Callithrix jacchus: one gene and its partners. The protein of the gene in region 1 interacts with the protein of each later gene in a pairwise test. Links are inferred from orthologs where the notes say so. Each region holds a gene or a part of one and is shown on either strand. Other genes may lie near its edges.

The links. The genes of interacting proteins can lie anywhere in the genome.
Region 2: the proteins of CRK (region 1) and USP53 interact in binary tests that used the Homo sapiens proteins (3 or more experiments, as listed by UniProt). The two-hybrid records come from large-scale screens. The link is inferred for Callithrix jacchus from reciprocal best matches to the Homo sapiens genes CRK and USP53.
Region 3: the proteins of CRK (region 1) and DPPA4 interact in binary tests that used the Homo sapiens proteins (3 or more experiments, as listed by UniProt). The two-hybrid records come from large-scale screens. The link is inferred for Callithrix jacchus from reciprocal best matches to the Homo sapiens genes CRK and DPPA4.
Region 4: the proteins of CRK (region 1) and PSMC6 interact in binary tests that used the Homo sapiens proteins (3 or more experiments, as listed by UniProt). The two-hybrid records come from large-scale screens. The link is inferred for Callithrix jacchus from reciprocal best matches to the Homo sapiens genes CRK and PSMC6.

The regions. Positions count from the first base shown.
Region 1 is NC_133506.1:66,779,967-66,784,095, forward strand, and holds the start of CRK (adapter molecule crk), read left to right. Parts: upstream 1-1,329; 5' UTR 1,330-1,449; coding exon 1,450-1,690; intron 1,691-4,129. UniProt on the Homo sapiens protein: Involved in cell branching and adhesion mediated by BCAR1-CRK-RAPGEF1 signaling and activation of RAP1.
Region 2 is NC_133504.1:78,358,269-78,362,444, forward strand, and holds the start of USP53 (ubiquitin carboxyl-terminal hydrolase 53), read right to left. Parts: upstream 2,801-4,176; 5' UTR 2,639-2,800; intron 2,408-2,638; exon of another isoform or gene 2,374-2,407; intron 1,605-2,373; 5' UTR 1,460-1,604; intron 1-1,459. Other genes in the region: uncharacterized protein LOC144581759, read left to right, coding at 2,854-2,987. UniProt on the Homo sapiens protein: Deubiquitinase that mediates 'Lys-63'-linked deubiquitination of tight junction proteins, such as MARVELD2 and LSR, and which is involved in the survival of auditory hair cells and hearing.
Region 3 is NC_133516.1:100,617,561-100,621,756, reverse strand, and holds the start of DPPA4 (developmental pluripotency-associated protein 4), read left to right. Parts: upstream 1-1,396; 5' UTR 1,397-1,455; coding exon 1,456-1,479; intron 1,480-3,099; exon of another isoform or gene 3,100-3,340; intron 3,341-4,196. UniProt on the Homo sapiens protein: May be involved in the maintenance of active epigenetic status of target genes. May inhibit differentiation of embryonic cells into a primitive ectoderm lineage.
Region 4 is NC_133509.1:87,260,229-87,264,193, reverse strand, and holds the start of PSMC6 (26S proteasome regulatory subunit 10B), read right to left. Parts: upstream 2,801-3,965; 5' UTR 2,790-2,800; coding exon 2,705-2,789; exon of another isoform or gene 2,420-2,704; intron 1,693-2,419; coding exon 1,613-1,692; intron 1,519-1,612; coding exon 1,479-1,518; intron 1,233-1,478; coding exon 1,180-1,232; intron 1-1,179. UniProt on the Homo sapiens protein: Component of the 26S proteasome, a multiprotein complex involved in the ATP-dependent degradation of ubiquitinated proteins.

The sequences.
Region 1 (4,129 bases):
CAAGGCCTCAAAAGAGAGAACTCTGCTCCCTTTGCTTTGAATGTCCTTCTCCATTTGCCATTCAACAGTTAACACATGCCACCTCCTCTGGGAAGGTTTCCTGGATTACTCCATAGACTGGACTGGGGGCTCTGCTCTGTGTCCATATCTGTCTCCCATGATAGCGCTCGTCAGCATTTGTCATCCTTTTGTCATCCAGTTTCCTGGTTCCTCTCACTAGTCTGTGAGTTGGAGGAGGGCAGGGCCTGGCCTCCATCACCTTTGCACCCACAGTGCAGGCAGAGTGTCAGTAACGATATGCTGAATGAATAAATGGAAACGAGAACGTCAGCGGAGAAGCGAGAGGAATGCACACAAACAGACCGACGTGGCCGGGCGCAAATGGCTGTCGCCTGTAATCTCAGCACTCTGGGAGGCCGAGGCGGGTGGATCACCTGAGGTTAGGAGTTTGAGACCAGCTGGCTAACAACGTGAAAACCCCATCTCTGCTAAAAATTAAAAAATGAGCCGGGTGTGGTGGTGGGCACCTGTAGTCCTAGCTGCTAGGGAGGCTGAGGCAGGAGAATCGTTTGAACCCGGGAGGCAGAGGTAGCAGTGAGCAGAGACTGCGACACGGCACTCCAGTCTGGGTGACAAAGCGAGAATCCGTCTCCAAAAAAAAAAAAAAAAAAGAAGCTGGACGCAGTGGCTCTTGCCGGTAATCCCAGCACACTGGGATGCCCAGGCGGGCTGATCACGAGGTCAGACGTTCGAGACCAGCCTGGCCAACATGGTGAAACTCCATCTCTACTAAAAATACCAAAAAAATTAGCCGGGCGTGGTGGCGCGCGCCTGTAGTCCCAGCTACTCGGGAGGCGGAGGCGGGGGTTGCAGTGAGCCGAGATCGCGTCACTGCACTACAGCCTGGGCATCAGAGCGAGACTCCGTCTCAAAAAAAAGAAACAGACCGACACTTCAGGAAGCCTGGCCGAAAACTCGGGGGGGGGTTACATGCATCTTTTCTCCTCCAGTTCTGTCTGGGAGTCGCTATCTAGAAGACCCAGGCCTTCCGTGAACGATAGCCTGGTTGTGGGGGGTGGGGGAAGGGCCACCGCGGCCAGTGGCGCAGGCGCACATCTCTGCGGCAGGCGGTGAGACCCCGCCCCCACGCCCTAGACCCCGCCTCCCAGCCCCTGGCCCGGCCAGGCGGCACCGCCCATGAGGCCGCATGCGCAGTGCGCGCGCGAGGCCGCCTTGCCCTTCTCCCAATGGCGGGCGGCGGGCCCTTTCCCGGCAGCCTCCCCAGGGCAGGGAGCGCGTCATTTCCGGTGGGGAAGACCCGCGGCCTCCGCCGCCATTTCGGGCGCTGCTGTGAGGTTGAAACCGGAGCCGGTCTGCTGGGCGGCGGGCGCCGTGGGCAGGAGGGGCGCGCGCGGCGCGGCAGCCCAGCGTGTAGGCGCGGAGGCAGCCATGGCGGGCAACTTCGACTCGGAGGAGCGGAGTAGCTGGTACTGGGGGCGTCTGAGTCGGCAGGAGGCGGTGGCGCTGCTGCAGGGCCAGCGGCACGGGGTCTTCCTGGTGCGGGACTCGAGCACCAGCCCCGGGGACTATGTACTCAGCGTGTCCGAGAACTCGCGCGTCTCCCACTACATCATCAACAGCAGCGGCCCGCGCCCGCCGGTGCCGCCGTCGCCCGCGCAGCCGCCGTCCGGTGAGGGACGGACGGGACGGACGGGACGCGGGGGCTGGGCGTGGTGAGGCCCGCGGAACTGGCAGCCCAGCCGGCTGCTGCTCCAGCGGACCCTCGGGGGTCGCGGGCCGAGGGCTGGGGGACCGCGGCGCCCAGCCGGGGAGCGGGAGCGTCGGGAGGAGGAGCCGCGGGCCGAGGCCCCTGGGTGTGCCTGCGGAGAGCGGCCCGGGGAAGGGGAACTGCTTCGGCCCAGGGTGGGGCTGGCTCCCGGGCCCGGCGCTCGGGGAGGGAGCGCAGGGCAGCGTGCGGACAAAGAGCCGAGGGAGCTGTTGGCACTGCGGGGGCATCCCTTGGCAGCGGTGCCCAGAATGAATCCGGTAATCCTGCAAGTGGCTTTTAGGCTGGAATCGTTTCCTGCCGGGTTTGGCCGTGCTCCCCTGGTGGCCTGGGGTGGGAAGTCACCACGTACTGGCCGGGAGGGATGGAGACACCCTCAGGAAGCCGGTCCGTTTTTTCCTTTCTTGGGCATTTTTCCAAAATACTTCCACCGTCCTCTTCCCCGGTTGAGGACGAAGGGGGTGAACTAAGTGCCTGGGTGATCGGAGGACGCCTTCAGGAACCAGTCCGACCCGCTGTCGGGGCATGTTGGCGGTGTCGGAGCGATCTAAGCGTCCCCGTAGGCTGCCCTCCGCTGTTATAGGCTCTGGTTCTCAGTGTTTAGTGGAGGAAAGACATCTTATTCCAGAAAGTAAACCAGAAGTGAGGCAATGGAAACAGCCCCATCCCTGGAAGGATCTGGAACTTGATATTCCCTGGGCTTGAACAGGGTCCGTGTGTACTCCAGGGCGTGACCTTGCCCCGTGAGCCGAGACTGCGGGCTGGATCTTCCTGGATGTTGGGAACAGACTGCGCAGAGGACATGAATGGTCTGCACGGGGTTTCCTTGCCGGGGACCCCAGGGAGGTGACTGCCTTGCCGGTGACATTGAGTTGTTTGGGAGGGTTAAGGGAGTAGATTTGTGTCCTTAGTGCTGGAGACTGAGGTGCAGAGTCATTCTGAGGTCCCGTTAGATGTGTATGTCTGTGGAACAGCGTCAGGACTTCTCGTGCCTTCACGCTGTTGCCAAGTCCAAGCAGCTTCTCTGCCAGCTTAGACTAGCTCCGGGCTAGCCTCCTATGAATCTAGAAGCTCCTGAGTCAGCCTTTGTACGCTTGCCCTTGTAGGATAGTTCTGATTTAGAGTTACTTTCTGGCCAGAAATAGAGAACTGGATGGGCAGTTTCTTTGTGGTTAACACATACCAATATTTATTTTACTTTTTTCTGAGATGGAGTCTTGTTCCGATGCCCATGCCAGAGTGCAGTGGCGCAGTCTTGGCTCACTGCAGCCTCCACTTCCTGGGTTCAAGCGATTCTCCTGTCTCAGCCTCCCGAGTAGCCGGGATTACAGGCGCGCACCACCACGCCAGACTAATTTTTGTATTTTTTTGTTGTTTTGTTATTGTTGTTGTTTTTATTGAGACGGGGTCTTGCTATGTTGCCCAGGCTGCACTGCAGTGGCTGTTGTTCACAGGTGCGATCCCACTACTGATCAGCATGGGAGTTTTGACTTGCTCCATTCCGACCTGGGCCGATTCACCCCTCCTTAGGCAACGTGGTGGTCCCGCGCTCACGGGAGGTCACCATATTGATGCTGAACTTAGTGCGGACACCGGATTGGCATAGTGCACTACAGCCCAGAACTCCTGGGCTCAAGAGATCCTCCCACCTCAGCCGCCCTGGTAGCTGGGACTACAGGCACGCGCCACTGCGCCTGGCTAATTTTTTTTTTAGTAAAGGCGGTGTTTCAACATGTTGACCAGGCAGGCCTCAAACTTCTGACCTCAGGTGAACCGCCTGCCCCAAAATATTAGGATTACAGGCATGAGCCACCACTCCTGGCCCAGCACATAACAGTTTTTAAAAATGAATATGGGGTCTTTATATTCACAAATTATTCTGGGTCTTTCTCATTCTGGCCAGCTTAATAGTATTGTAATATGAGATGGGAATATTGATGCACATGTGTTTGCCTTTAACCAGATTCTATTCTACTTTGATGCCACCTGCATGGTATCTAGGGTTTTGCATTTCACATAGTAACATGATGGCAAACTGTGATTGAAATCACTTTTCAGCCTTTTGTTTCACACCTCAGTGTAATGATTTTCTGTCTCAGCACTTACTTTGATATTGAGCACCACCTTTTCAAAACAGATAAGAGCTCAGTTCCTTGGCCCAGGACAGAAGGCGAAGATTGCCAAAGTTTGTGGACGGGGTGTGGAAAATTCACAAGTATTGTGATAATTCTTTCTGCCATGTACCCTGTATTCCATGATTCAGTTGCTGTCTTTCTCTCGATTCTGAGACAGGGCCTTTGTCACCCATGCTGGAATGCAGTAACATGAGCACCGCTCATCCTT
Region 2 (4,176 bases), on another chromosome or scaffold:
GACCTAATAATGAAGCCTCCTCGAATAATGTTTGTAAATGAACAAAATGAAATTAATAGCATTAAAAAAAGAAAAAGAAAAAATACTAAGATCACAAAGAAAACCAATTATATGAAAACTCAATTATAACCACAGACCACAGTTCTAATCATGGGCATTTGGTTCAACAACTCCTGATAGAGGATATGCATTAACTTGGAAGAACATATAACATTAATTGCCTGAATATTCTATATACTGTACATGGTATCTATGACATTCCTATTAATTAAAAAAAATGTATAACCTGCAAAGATTAGGATATTACATAAAGTTATTTAAAATTTAACCTTTGAGGATTTTTACTTGTAGCAGAACAGGTTGCATCCATTTCCTGTTCCTATTATGTACAAATACTGTAATACAAAATTTTCTAAAAATCATCAATGTAAAATTAACAATACTACATTTGAACATCATTAATTTCTACCTAGCTCTTCAAAGATGGCATAAATCAGCACACTTCCTTCCTTAAAACAAGAGCTCGTGAGCAAGCGTAAGCTAAACTGGCAATCATCTTGGTCCTATCACACCTAGCACACTGTGTTCAAAATGCTACCAAATGCAATATATAAACTAACCAACTTTCTATAAGTTGTTTTGAGGTCTACAAGCAAGAAATACCTTATAGTTAAAGCTGTCAAAAAGGATCTCCTAAGTATTTTAATAACTAAACATCCTTGTAGGATAGTTTAATCCACCACTTTATAAAGATCAAATATATTTTTGGAAAGTTGTAGGGTAAAGCAATGTACCCTCTCCTACCCCAGTAAGTAAGAGAGTTCCAAACAGCTCCAGGAGGGAAAATAATTCTGATTTTGGCTTTTAAAGCTATATATAACCTTAAATAAGATAAAAATGTTCATTTTGAAACTTTGTCTTGTTAAAACAAACTTGTAAACCATATGGTATCAAAGCTGTATTTCTTGATACTACATAGTGTAAAATAAACATCTAACACTAAACAATATAAAAGAACTTGAATTACAGCACATATGGCAGATCTTAAGAGTACTGTAATTTTTCTTTTTTCTTTTTTTGAGGAAAGAATAAACTAGGTGGAAAAGTCTAACTTCCCATTAAAATATCTTTTTAAAAACTATCTTTCGCATCATTTAGTGAAAATAATATTAATGAATTAGCGTCATATTCCATGAACTTATACAATCTACATACATTTACAAAAAAAATTTTTAAATTCTTAGGAAAGGCCAGTTCTTAGTCTCTTATTTTTTACACGTTAGGAAGAAATACACACACCTACCAGTTTCATTAATGAAAAAATCTTAACAAATCATTTTCATGGTTTATCACCAGTAATCAAGAACCTGGACAAATTGTATCAAGGAGTTTATTTTAAAAGTCTTTGAAATACAAAACAAAAACCCTGTTTCTCGGACGATAATTAACTCCTACTTACACTGAGTTTGTCCATTTGAATTCTTATGACAGCAGCAGAGAAATCATATATTACTTTTGCAGAGTAAGTTTTGTTCACTTTGGGTTTTTAAAACAATTTATCTTTAACAAGACGAAGGGTCTTTGCTTAGATCATCATCATGGAACTGAAAAGAACAGAAAATAAAACTAACAAGTTTTCAATGTAGCCAAAAGTTCATTTCCATCAGACATTTTGTGTTAACACTTGCTACTCATTTTAAATAGCGAAAAACTAGCAAGGCTTTTCTTTAAAGAACGAACTAAAAGTGAATCAGAGCCTAATCACAAAACCCTTCCTTCTTGTTTACTGTTAAACCTAAATCAAAAATAGCCTTTGATATTCTTCACAAAATATATATATTTATACATACACACACACCTAAATCTATTTCCAGATAAGGAAACGTTCGGAAAACTTTGCTGTCCAACTGGTAATGCACTCCAGACTTTGCAATGATAAAGAAAATCTTGTAGTAGGGTTACAAACCTCAAAACATCCTCTGATTGCAGGTTTTAGAAACCCTTCCTATTACACCTGTGCAAGTACTTCCTGTCCTCCAACGCTGTTTAAAAATAGTTTAGTAAATGCCCCATAAGCCGCCGTTTGGAAGCTAAACATTAACTTTATATAAATCACCACTATCACTGAGAAACCACCACCCCAAGAACCTCACAAGTCCAGTCATCTCTCTTCTCCAAGGAGGGAGCATAACCATCCTGGACACCTTTATATAAAAAAAACTGTGTGGTCAGGCGAGGTAACGTGGCTTGGATAGCCAGAGGCAGGAGCCAAGTAAGGGTAATATTCACTACCCCAGAAGGACTCCAACTTCTGCCCCGTCGCCGCCCGCAAACACGGCAGCAATAACAACCAGGACCCAGCAAGTACAGCACCTCCTCCAGCCTCGCGCGCGCCTCCAGCCTGGCCAGAGGCATCTCCACCAGACGCAGCAAGAAGGGACTAGAGGGCTGCGTGACCTCCGGCGCCTGAACGGCCCAGTAAAGAGAGTGTGTGCCCTGAAGGCCGGGCGGGGAGAGGAGGTCTCCCGGCTGCGAGGAGAGAGACGTGGTCGGGGTCCAGAATGAGAGTAGCTGGGTCAGGCCCGCGGGGGTCGCAGGTCGCCGGATCTCCAACCAGAGGCTAGTTTCCGAGACTTACCTTGAGCTACTACCCTCTCTGCGCTAGGAGCTTACGGTCCAGATAGAGAAATACTGGCCTTCCACTCCCACAGAGCTGCCTCCGGCTGGCCCAGCTCCGCTTCTCGCCGACACCCGCCAGACACACCAACAGCTGCCAACGTACCAAGGCTCACCGGGAACTAGAGCAGAGACGGCTGGTCTCCGCCGCCCAGAGCCCGACCCTGAGCGCGGAGCATGCGCACACGCCCCAATACCCAGGAGCCAGTCAGGCCAGTGACACCTGCGATCAACAGGTCCCTGGAGCCCCGCCCCTCTCCCCGCCTCGAGCCCGCCCCCTCGGAGTTGGCTCCGCCTTCAGGCTCACCAAGGTAACCCCGCCTCCGCACGCTATTTCCCGGCTTTCCGGACCTGCGGAATTCTATTCCCGCGGGGATTTGATGGCGAGCGCGATATAGTTGGCGTCCTCGGAGGCGCGAGATCGCGCGAGACCGGGAGACATTTCCCCAAATCGGGAGCGTCACGCTGGAGCTTGGTTGTGGGGTGAAAGGTAGTTGTGGGACGTGCTGTCTGGTGTACCGAGGAAGAGAGGCTAGTTCCTCAGGAGGAGGCGATTATTCTGATGCTCTCGGTAGTTCATTCAGTATTTTCTAAGCTCGAGAACGGGGATCCACCGAGGACTGCGCTTAGGTTAGATGTCGCTTGAGAGAGCAATCCGTAGCTTGTCATCAAAACGCCAAGCAGACACTCAGTTTCCTATAGCTTTCTGTGAGTCGTTAGACGATCTATTTGCAGTTAAATGACTTCCTGTGGCGTGAATGGGTACTCCCCAAGCGGTTGTTTCGTGGCCTTTAATTAGATAGCTTTAATAAGCCTGTTGTCCTGGTTAATGATTGTCAGAAAAGACTGGCCGCCTTCTCACCGTGCTTTCGAACAGATTTTAAGTTTAAAAAGTACTGCGGGGAATTATGCCAAACTTTGATTTTAAAAAACGTTTCTTAGGAATAGTAGTAAAAGCAAAACCCATCGTCATTGATATCAAAGATCTCTGAAGTAAATAAGGTTTTGGAACTCAATTGCAAATCTGGTGTAAGTAGAAAATACTGATTGTAAAAAATGGATTTAAGTAAACCCAGAGGCACTTCTAAAATTTTATTTGAAGAAACGGGGAAGAAATATTCGACGTTGACACAGGCGACAAATGGGACCCGTTTGTAATGTCTAGACTGAATCCTTAAGAATGTATGGAGCATTTACTATGTTCCCTGTACTGAACTAGACACTGTAGGAAATAGAATGAAAGGAAGCCGTGGCTTCTGCCCTCAAAATACTAAAAACTTTGGGAGGAGTTGGGGAAGAAAGGGCCTACTCTGCATTTTTAAAACAATAAGAGCACACCATCAACTCTCCCTTCAGTTTCCCTAATGTTATTTTCTCCTCATTACACAGCTACTTTAAATATTGTTTTTGTTCTGCTTGGTCTCTGTGTTCTCCAGCACTCCATTTTCTTTTGCTGTTTCTGTTTAATGTTAATCCTCATGTCTCCTTGAGCAGTCTCTT
Region 3 (4,196 bases), on another chromosome or scaffold:
CCACCTCAGTCTCCCAAAGTGCTGGGATTACAGGCATGAGCCACCACGCCCTGACTGAGTTTTAAACTCACAATTTGATATAAAGAATACTTGGGCTCGGAGTGCTGGCTCACACGTGTAATGCCAACACCTTGGGAGGAGAAGGCTGGAGAATCACTGGAAGCATAGAGTTCGAGACCAGCCTGGTCAAAGTAGAGAGGACCCCGCCCTGCCCACTCCCAACACACACACACAATAAATAACATACTCTATAGACGTTTTTTTTTTGAGACGGAGTCTCCCTCTATTGCCAGGCTGGAGTGCAATGGGAAGATCTCGGCTCACTGCAACCTCCGCCTCCTGGGTTCAAGCGATTCTCCTGCCTCGGCGTCTTGAGTAACTGAGATTACTGGCGCGCGCCACCACTCCCAGCTAATTTTTGTATTATTATTATTATTTATTATTTATTTTTTTGAGATGGAGTCTTACTCTGTCGCCAGGCTGGAGTGCAGTGGCGCAATCTCTGCTCACTGCAACCTCCGCCTGGGTTCAAGCGATTTTTCCGCCTCAGCCTCCGGAGCAGCTGGGATTACAGGCGCGTGCTACCACGCCCGGCTAATTTTTGTATTTTCAGTAGAGACGGGATTTCACCCTGTTGACCAGGATGGTCTCGATCTCTTGACTTCGTGATCCGCCCGCCTCGGCCTCCCAAAGTGCTGGGATTACAGGCGTGAACCACCGCGCCCGGCCTAATTTTTGTATTTTTAGTAGAGATGGGGTTTCACTATGTTGGCCAAATTGGTATCGATCTCTTGACCTTGTGATCCGCCCACCCGGGCCTCCCAAAGTGCTGGGACTGCAGGCTTGAGCCACCACGCCCGTCCTACTCTGCAGACTTTAAAACCTATGATTACTAGATCATTGGCAGATGAAAAAGATGCTGGGTGTTGGTACAGACAGAAACCTGAGTTTTAGTTGGTTGAGTAACTCCCTTAGGAAATGGAATGTATTCGGTGGGAGAAAATAGTTTAGCTTTCTTCAAGCCACCAGTCTGGTCCCTGAAGTCTGCTGTTTCCACATGTTCCATTACTAAATCCCTTTCCACATCCTGCACAAGTCAAGTCTCTGGCAACTCCCCCCCCCCCCCCCCCCCCCCAGGAATTGTTCTGCAGGAGCCTTTTACCTCTCAAGGTCTCCGGAACCATACTTTGGATAATTACATTAAAAGTGCACAGAAAAGGGCCAGGAATGGGATTAGTGATTCCACCCCTACAAAAGTCCCCTCATGAATAAGAAAGGATACAATTTCAGCATTTACAAATTGTGGGGGAGGGAACAGAAGGGGAGCAGAAAAGAAGAGGTGGGGAGAAAAAGGGTCTTTGGGAGGCAGGAAGTGGGAGGAGACTTTGCAAACAACAATCTGGGGCCAGGGGCCATTTTGGAAGCATCTGGCCAAGCTTCGCTTCCTGTCCGAATATGGAGAAGGTAAAAGGCAAGGAGGTCGGTACAGTCTTAGTGAATGTGTTTTCTGTCTTTGTCTCCTCGTGTTTCTGTCTTCCCTGAGCACTCCTGATTATTATTATTATTATTATTATTATTATTATTATTGAGACGGAGCCTCGCTGCGTCGCCCAGGCTGGAGTGCAATGGCCCGATCTCGGCTCAGGGCAACCTCCGCCTTCTGGGTTCAAGCGATTCTCCTGCCTCAGCCTCGCGAGTAGCTGGGACTACAGGCACGCGCCACCACGCCCAGCTGATTTTTGTATTTTTAGTAGAGATGGGGTTTCACCGTGTTGGTCAGGCCGGTCTCAAACTCCGACTTCAGGTGATCTGCCTTGGCCGTCCCAGGTGCTGAGATTACAGGTATGAGCCACCGCGCCCGGCCCGGATTTGTCTTTTAAGGAGAAAACAATGTACCTTCGGGTTTTCTTCTCTTGCCTCTTAGGAATAAACCCCAAGAACATGATTGCAGCCTGGTACAGCGGAGTAAGAAATGAGGTTTGCTAGGTTTAGCTGAGGAGAGGAGGTTGAGGGTGTCAAGAGATGGGGACCAAGAGAGAAATGAGGTGTTGAGGTTTTGGTTTTGGGAACAGGGTCCCTGCGTGTCTCCCAGGCTGGAGTGAGCATCACTGCTCAGTGCCACCTTGACCGCCCAGGCTCAAGCGACCTTTCCGCCTCGGCCTTCCAAAGTGCTTTTGGGCACACGCCGCTGCTCCGGGCCCGGGTGTTCTGTTTTGAAGAAGTGCTTTGTCCGGTCGGAAGAATTAACTGAATATCGGGGCCAGAGGGAAATGGTTACAGGAGAAAACCGGCGGTGAGGGAAGATTTTAGGAAGAGGTCATTGAGCTGAGGTTGGAAAAGCGTGAAACTCCTTAATTCCCTTTAGATGGACACGGATCCTAAACCAAAGGTGCTGGGTACGAATTTTCTTTTTCCCAGTGTCCTTAGGATTTAGGAGCAAGCGGAGCCAGACATTGGCAGCCGCACAAACTGAAGGAAGAGAGCTTTTGAGACGTGTTGCACATGCACTGAACGGCCATATTTGAGCCTCTTTACTTGAACCGGGTCGTTTTTAACTCTCAGTTTTAAGTCTTCGTGAGGTCCAAAGTGAGTAGTTCTTGTAAGGGTTACGCAAAGGTAAATTTCAAATCCAAATGTAGACCTGCTATAGAGATGTAAAAATGCCATACAAATGTTAATCTGTGCAGTAATCCGCCTGAAAGTGAAGAAAAAGATTTAGATTTAGGGGAATTTTTTTTTGGTTTTTAAAAATGTTTATTTTATATACAAAGAGGTATAATGGTTTTTCATGAGGCCGGGCGCGGTGGCTCAAGCCTGTAATCCCAGCACTTTGGGAGGCCGAGGCGGGCGGATCACGAGGTCAAGAGATCGAGACCATCCTGGTCAACAAGGTGAAACCCCGTCTCTACTAAAAATACAAAAAATTAGCTGGGCATGGTGGCGCGTGCCTGTAATCCCGGCTACTCAGGAGGCTGAGGCAGGAGAATTGCCTGAACCCAGGAGGCGGAGGTTGGGTGAGCCGAGATCGCGCCATTGCACTCCAGCCTGGGTAACAAGAGCGAAACTCCGTCTCAAAAAAAAAAAAAAAAAAAATGGTTTTTCATGGTAGATGTCTTGGATAATCCTTTGAAGACCATTTAGTCCAACTTAATGAAACCTATATCCTTCGCGTACTGACGGAAACACTGGCGGCACATATTGAGACCGTATTTACGTATCAAACAGTGCGGGTTTGAACAGACTCGTCAAGAGCGAGAACCCTGGCCGAATTTTCGCGGGTGGCTCCAGTACAGCTGCTGGTGACCCATCTTGCTCTCAGAAAGGCAACGAGGTAAAAGGCTAGGGGAAGTTTTAGATTACATTTTTTTAATTTTAGAGACGGAGTCTCGCTCTGTCTTCCAGGCTAGAGTGCAGTGGCGTGATCTCAGCTGACTGCAACCTTCGCCTCCCGGGTCGAGCAACTCTCCTGCCTCAGCCTCCTCAGTAGCTAGGATTACCGACTAGTTTTTTGTATTTTTGGTAGAGACGCGGTTTTACTTTGTTGGTCTAGCTCGTTTCGAACTCCTGACCTTGTGATCTGCCCGCTTTGGCTTCCCAAAGTGCTGGGATTACAACTGTAAACCACTGCACCCGGCCTAAACATTTTTATTTTTTTAACGAGACGAGTTTCTTTCTGTCACCCACGCTGGAGTGCAGTGGCTGATCTCGGCTCACTGCACCCTCCGCCTCCCAGGTTCAAGGGATTCTCCTGACTCAGCCTATCGATTAGCTGGGATTACAGGCGCGCAGCACCATGCCCAGCTAATTTTTGTTGTTGTTTTGTTTTTTTTTTTTGTTGAGAAGGAGTCCCGCTATGTCGCCCAGGCTGGAGTGCAATGGCGCGATCTCGGCTCACCCAACCTCTGCCTCCGGGTTCAAGTAATTCTCCTGCCTCGGCCTCCCGAGTAGCTGGGATTACAGGTGCCTGCTACCACGCCCTGCTAATTTTTGTATTTTTAGTAGTGATGGGGTTTCACCATGTTGGTCAGGCTGATCTCAAACGTCTAACCTTGTGATCCACCCGCCTCGGCCTCCCAAAGTGCTGGAATTACAGGCATGAGCCACTGCGCCCAGCCAAAGACAATTATTTTTATTCTAAGAGCAATAAACCGCTGAAAGGATGTAAAGTTTTCATAGTGTCACTCTGCCAGCAGTGT
Region 4 (3,965 bases), on another chromosome or scaffold:
TAAGGGATACTCAACTTATATATACCTTGGCTTTTCTAATGTTTTCTAGTTTTCAAATATTGTCTTGTCCTCATGCAACCTGAAATATCTTAATGCCAACTTTTGGCATCCAGAAAGCCCTGAAACGGACATAAAAACCCCTTGTCAGTTTAGGTATCTAATAGTTTGACTTAAAAAATGTCAACCACTTAATATACTAGGCAAAATCTTAATACAAGATTTATTCCCTGGATTAAATTCTCCCCTACAGCCATGTCCTGTGAATGTTTTAAAATCCGAACCCAAAATGACAATTACACAGAGCTCTTCCAATGAATTTAAAAGAAGTCTCTACCTAAGGACACTTCCTATAGTACATAAATTGATTTCAGACACTACTGAATGACCTGAGGTCATTTGTTGGCATCTTTAGTGACGGTAAAATAAAATTCAGAATTATTTCAACTTGTCCTACCCTAATCTAAATGACCTCATACAAAATTAACTTAGGCCATGGTACAGTCTTATCAGTAACAGTTCTGAATGCTGAAATATAAACACAGGTAACTGATCGTATCTAACACTTCTAAGTCCTCTTTAAAAATGACATTAAAGCCAGGTGTTGTGGCTCACACCTGTAATCCCAGCACTTTAAGAGGCCGAGGCAGGTGGATCACCAGGTCAGATCAAAACCATCCCAGCCAACATGGCGAAACCCAGTCTCTACTAAAAATACAAAAAAAAAATTAGCTGGGCATGGTGGTGCATGCCTGTAATTCCAGCTACTCTGGAGGCTGAGGCAGGGAAAATCATTTGAACCAGGGAGTTGGAGGTTGCAGTGAGCCAAGATCGTGCCACTGCTCTTCAGCCTGGTGACAGAGTGATATTGTCTCTCACACACACACATGAAAAAGATACTAACATAAAATGCCTATTTTCCAGTTCTAAAACACTGATTTCTAAGTCACTGTTAATAGATCTGACTGAGACAATGTAATACAGTAGAAAGTAGAGAATGCCAGGAGTCAAAGCCTATGGTTTGAATTCAGGCTTTGTTAATAACTAGCTATGTCTGAACAAATCACCCTTGTCAGTTATGGGCATAAATGCCCAACCTGTTTGCCTCAAGAATTAGAGACAATAACTTACATGAAACTGCTTTTATCAATCAGCAAGCACTAGACAAATAAAAAGTATTACCTGTCGACGACAACCCACAACATATCTCGGTCCATTTGTTGCTTTAACGATGACTAGAAGAAAAAAACAAAAAAGAAGTAATTGAAAAACAAAGTAAAAAAATACATATCCACATTGATAGAGGGCTTAGTTTTATTTTCTGTCCTCCAAGAAGACAATAGTTGAAGACAAACTTAAGTCTATGCAAAAATACTCTCTCTCTGCATTAGTGTCATTATGCATTTTGAAATAATATGCATTTCAAAAGTTAGAGAGAGGTGAGCTGTTTCTTTACTAATTACTAATCTAAATTCACTCACATTTTTCTTCGGTTAACTGTTTAAGCACTTCACCCACAATCTAAGGAAGAAAATAAAAAGCATTACTTTTTGGCAACACCTAAATAAAAAAGCAAATTACCATCACCCGCTAATCCCCAAACTCCATTACCTACCTGCCCAACACTTTGTAGGGCCTTCAAATCATTTTCAGACTTTTCATACTGCTTGGTAAGTTCTTTTAATTGTTCCCTTACTGAAATAATACAATTTGAACATTTTTAGTTGAACAGTAATCTTAATGTGTTTAAATCGCTAAATCTCACTTTAGTGTTTACTTAAGTCTATTTCACTTTACCTAAGTTTCACATCCACTATTTCAAACCACAAAAGAAACAATGCTGTTTGTAATAGTAGGTGGCATGTACAACAAAAAAATGTTTCAGAGAAAGCACCGTAATTTTATTTTCTTGATCGGCAACACTTGTTTAAGCACATTAAGTTATATTCTTAACAGATATTGACACATTGACACTTAGGATTTGCGACTACAAATCCGAATGATAATCAGTTAGTTAGACCCTTCCTCACCTATTCACCTACCCACTTGGATTCTTCTCTGATATTCTAACCTCAAGTCAAAAAATGGAGTTCTCCACAGAATCACTTAGTTACAGTCCTCCTTCATTTAATTAAACCACTCATGCTTTTCAATGAAAATGCACTGGAAAAAAAAAAAGTTAAGCCCTCAAGAGGTAAGGGAAATTTGTATGCCTTGATACAGTACAACAGGAAACACGACAAAAGACGAAATGGGTTATTGTGACAACTGGAACCCTTCTCTCTTAAGCTCCGCGGCCGTCTTTTACTTCCAACAAGCCGACTCCCTGAGTCTCATCTCTTGTTTGAGCTTCCTTGACTCAAGCGCCTTCCCCTCTTCGAGTCCCAGGACTCCAAAAACACTGCCCTCCTTGCACCCTAACCTGAGTAACATCCTCGGCCTACTTCTTCCCACTCCTCCTCTAGTTCTTTTTCATTTCCACTTCAGGGCCGCGGATGTTCTGTCACTTGGACTGGACTGGGCCATTTCTACACACGAAGGAGTGCTGCTCCCCAAGCTCAGGGCCGGATGACAAAGCGCCTTGTCCCTGGACCGAGGCCTGGTCATATCTAAGTCTCGGTTACCGGGCTCGGCCAAAGGCTTCTACTTTGTTAGAGGCAGAAGCGAGTCGAGGCACTTGATTACATAGAAAGAAGGGTGCGCTCACACTCCTTAAGACGGCCGTCGATCTCCTTGTGCTCAAGCAGCTTCTTGCGGTAGTCCTGAAGCGCCTTATCTCTAGGGTCCGCCATGATGAGAAGCCGTCTCTCATAGGGGATGCCGGGAATGGCCATGGCCGTCAGGGCGGGGGAAGGGGCGGGGCAAGGGACGAAACCAGGCCTGTAGGGGTGGGTTTGCCCATGGACCCGCCCCTTCCTGTTGGCCCCGCCTTTCTACTTCAGTTCTCCCACCTCTATGTCTTGGTTCACCTAGAACGCCGGCGTACACTAAAGGGGGACTCCGACCACACCGTCCCCTGCAGGCCAAGATGGGTAAAGCAGGACGCAGTTACCCGGTCTTCCCCGGAGAGGCCTCAGTATTAACTGCTGTCCCGGAACTATAAAAGGCTGTGTAATAAAATGAGATGAAAGTGAAGTAGGAAATGTGTAATACCTCAAAAGAGTTCCGATGGCCTGTCGACACAACACAGATGGCCTTTCGTATACCACAGTGCTATCCAAGACCTCCACGTTCAGAAGTAGGCAGTTTTATTCAACCCTTCAGTGAGTGAATGAGGTATTAAAAATAAATCTGCTTATGATTTGGTGGGAAATAATTAAAAAAAAACCTTGAGAGTATAGCAAATACTATGAAGGAATTAAAATACGGTGAGAAGTATGGTGGGAAAAATTAATCTAGAGCAGATATCTGAGATGAGATGAAACCAGCCTTGCAACAACTGAAGCAAACCTTCTAAACAAAGGAAACAGAAAGCACAAGTCCTGGAGTGGGGTGGGGTGGCGGGATGTGGGTAGAAAGCTTGGCTCACTTCCAGGAACAGAAAGGCCAATGGTACCAGTAGCGGGTGGGTTGTAGAGACGTGGGGTGCAAGATAAAGATGCGGAAGTAGGCTGAGGCAGGAACTCTGAAGGCTGATAGAACTTTCAGATTATTATTATTATTTTTTTTAAATGGAGTCTCGCTCCTGTCACACAGGCTGGAGTGCAGTGGCGCAATCTCGGCTCACCGCAACCACCGCCTCCCGGGTTCAAGCAATTCTCGTGCCTCCTGAGAGCTGGGATTACAGGCTCCCGCCGCCACGCTCAGCTCATTTTTGTATTTTTAGTAGAGACAGGGTTTCACTGTGTTGGCCAGGCTGGTCTTGAACTCCTTACCTCAAGTGATCCGCCTGCCTCAGCCTCCCAAAGTGCTGAGATTACAGGTGTGAGCCATCACGGCTGGCCAACTTTCAGATTTTTGTGATTTGG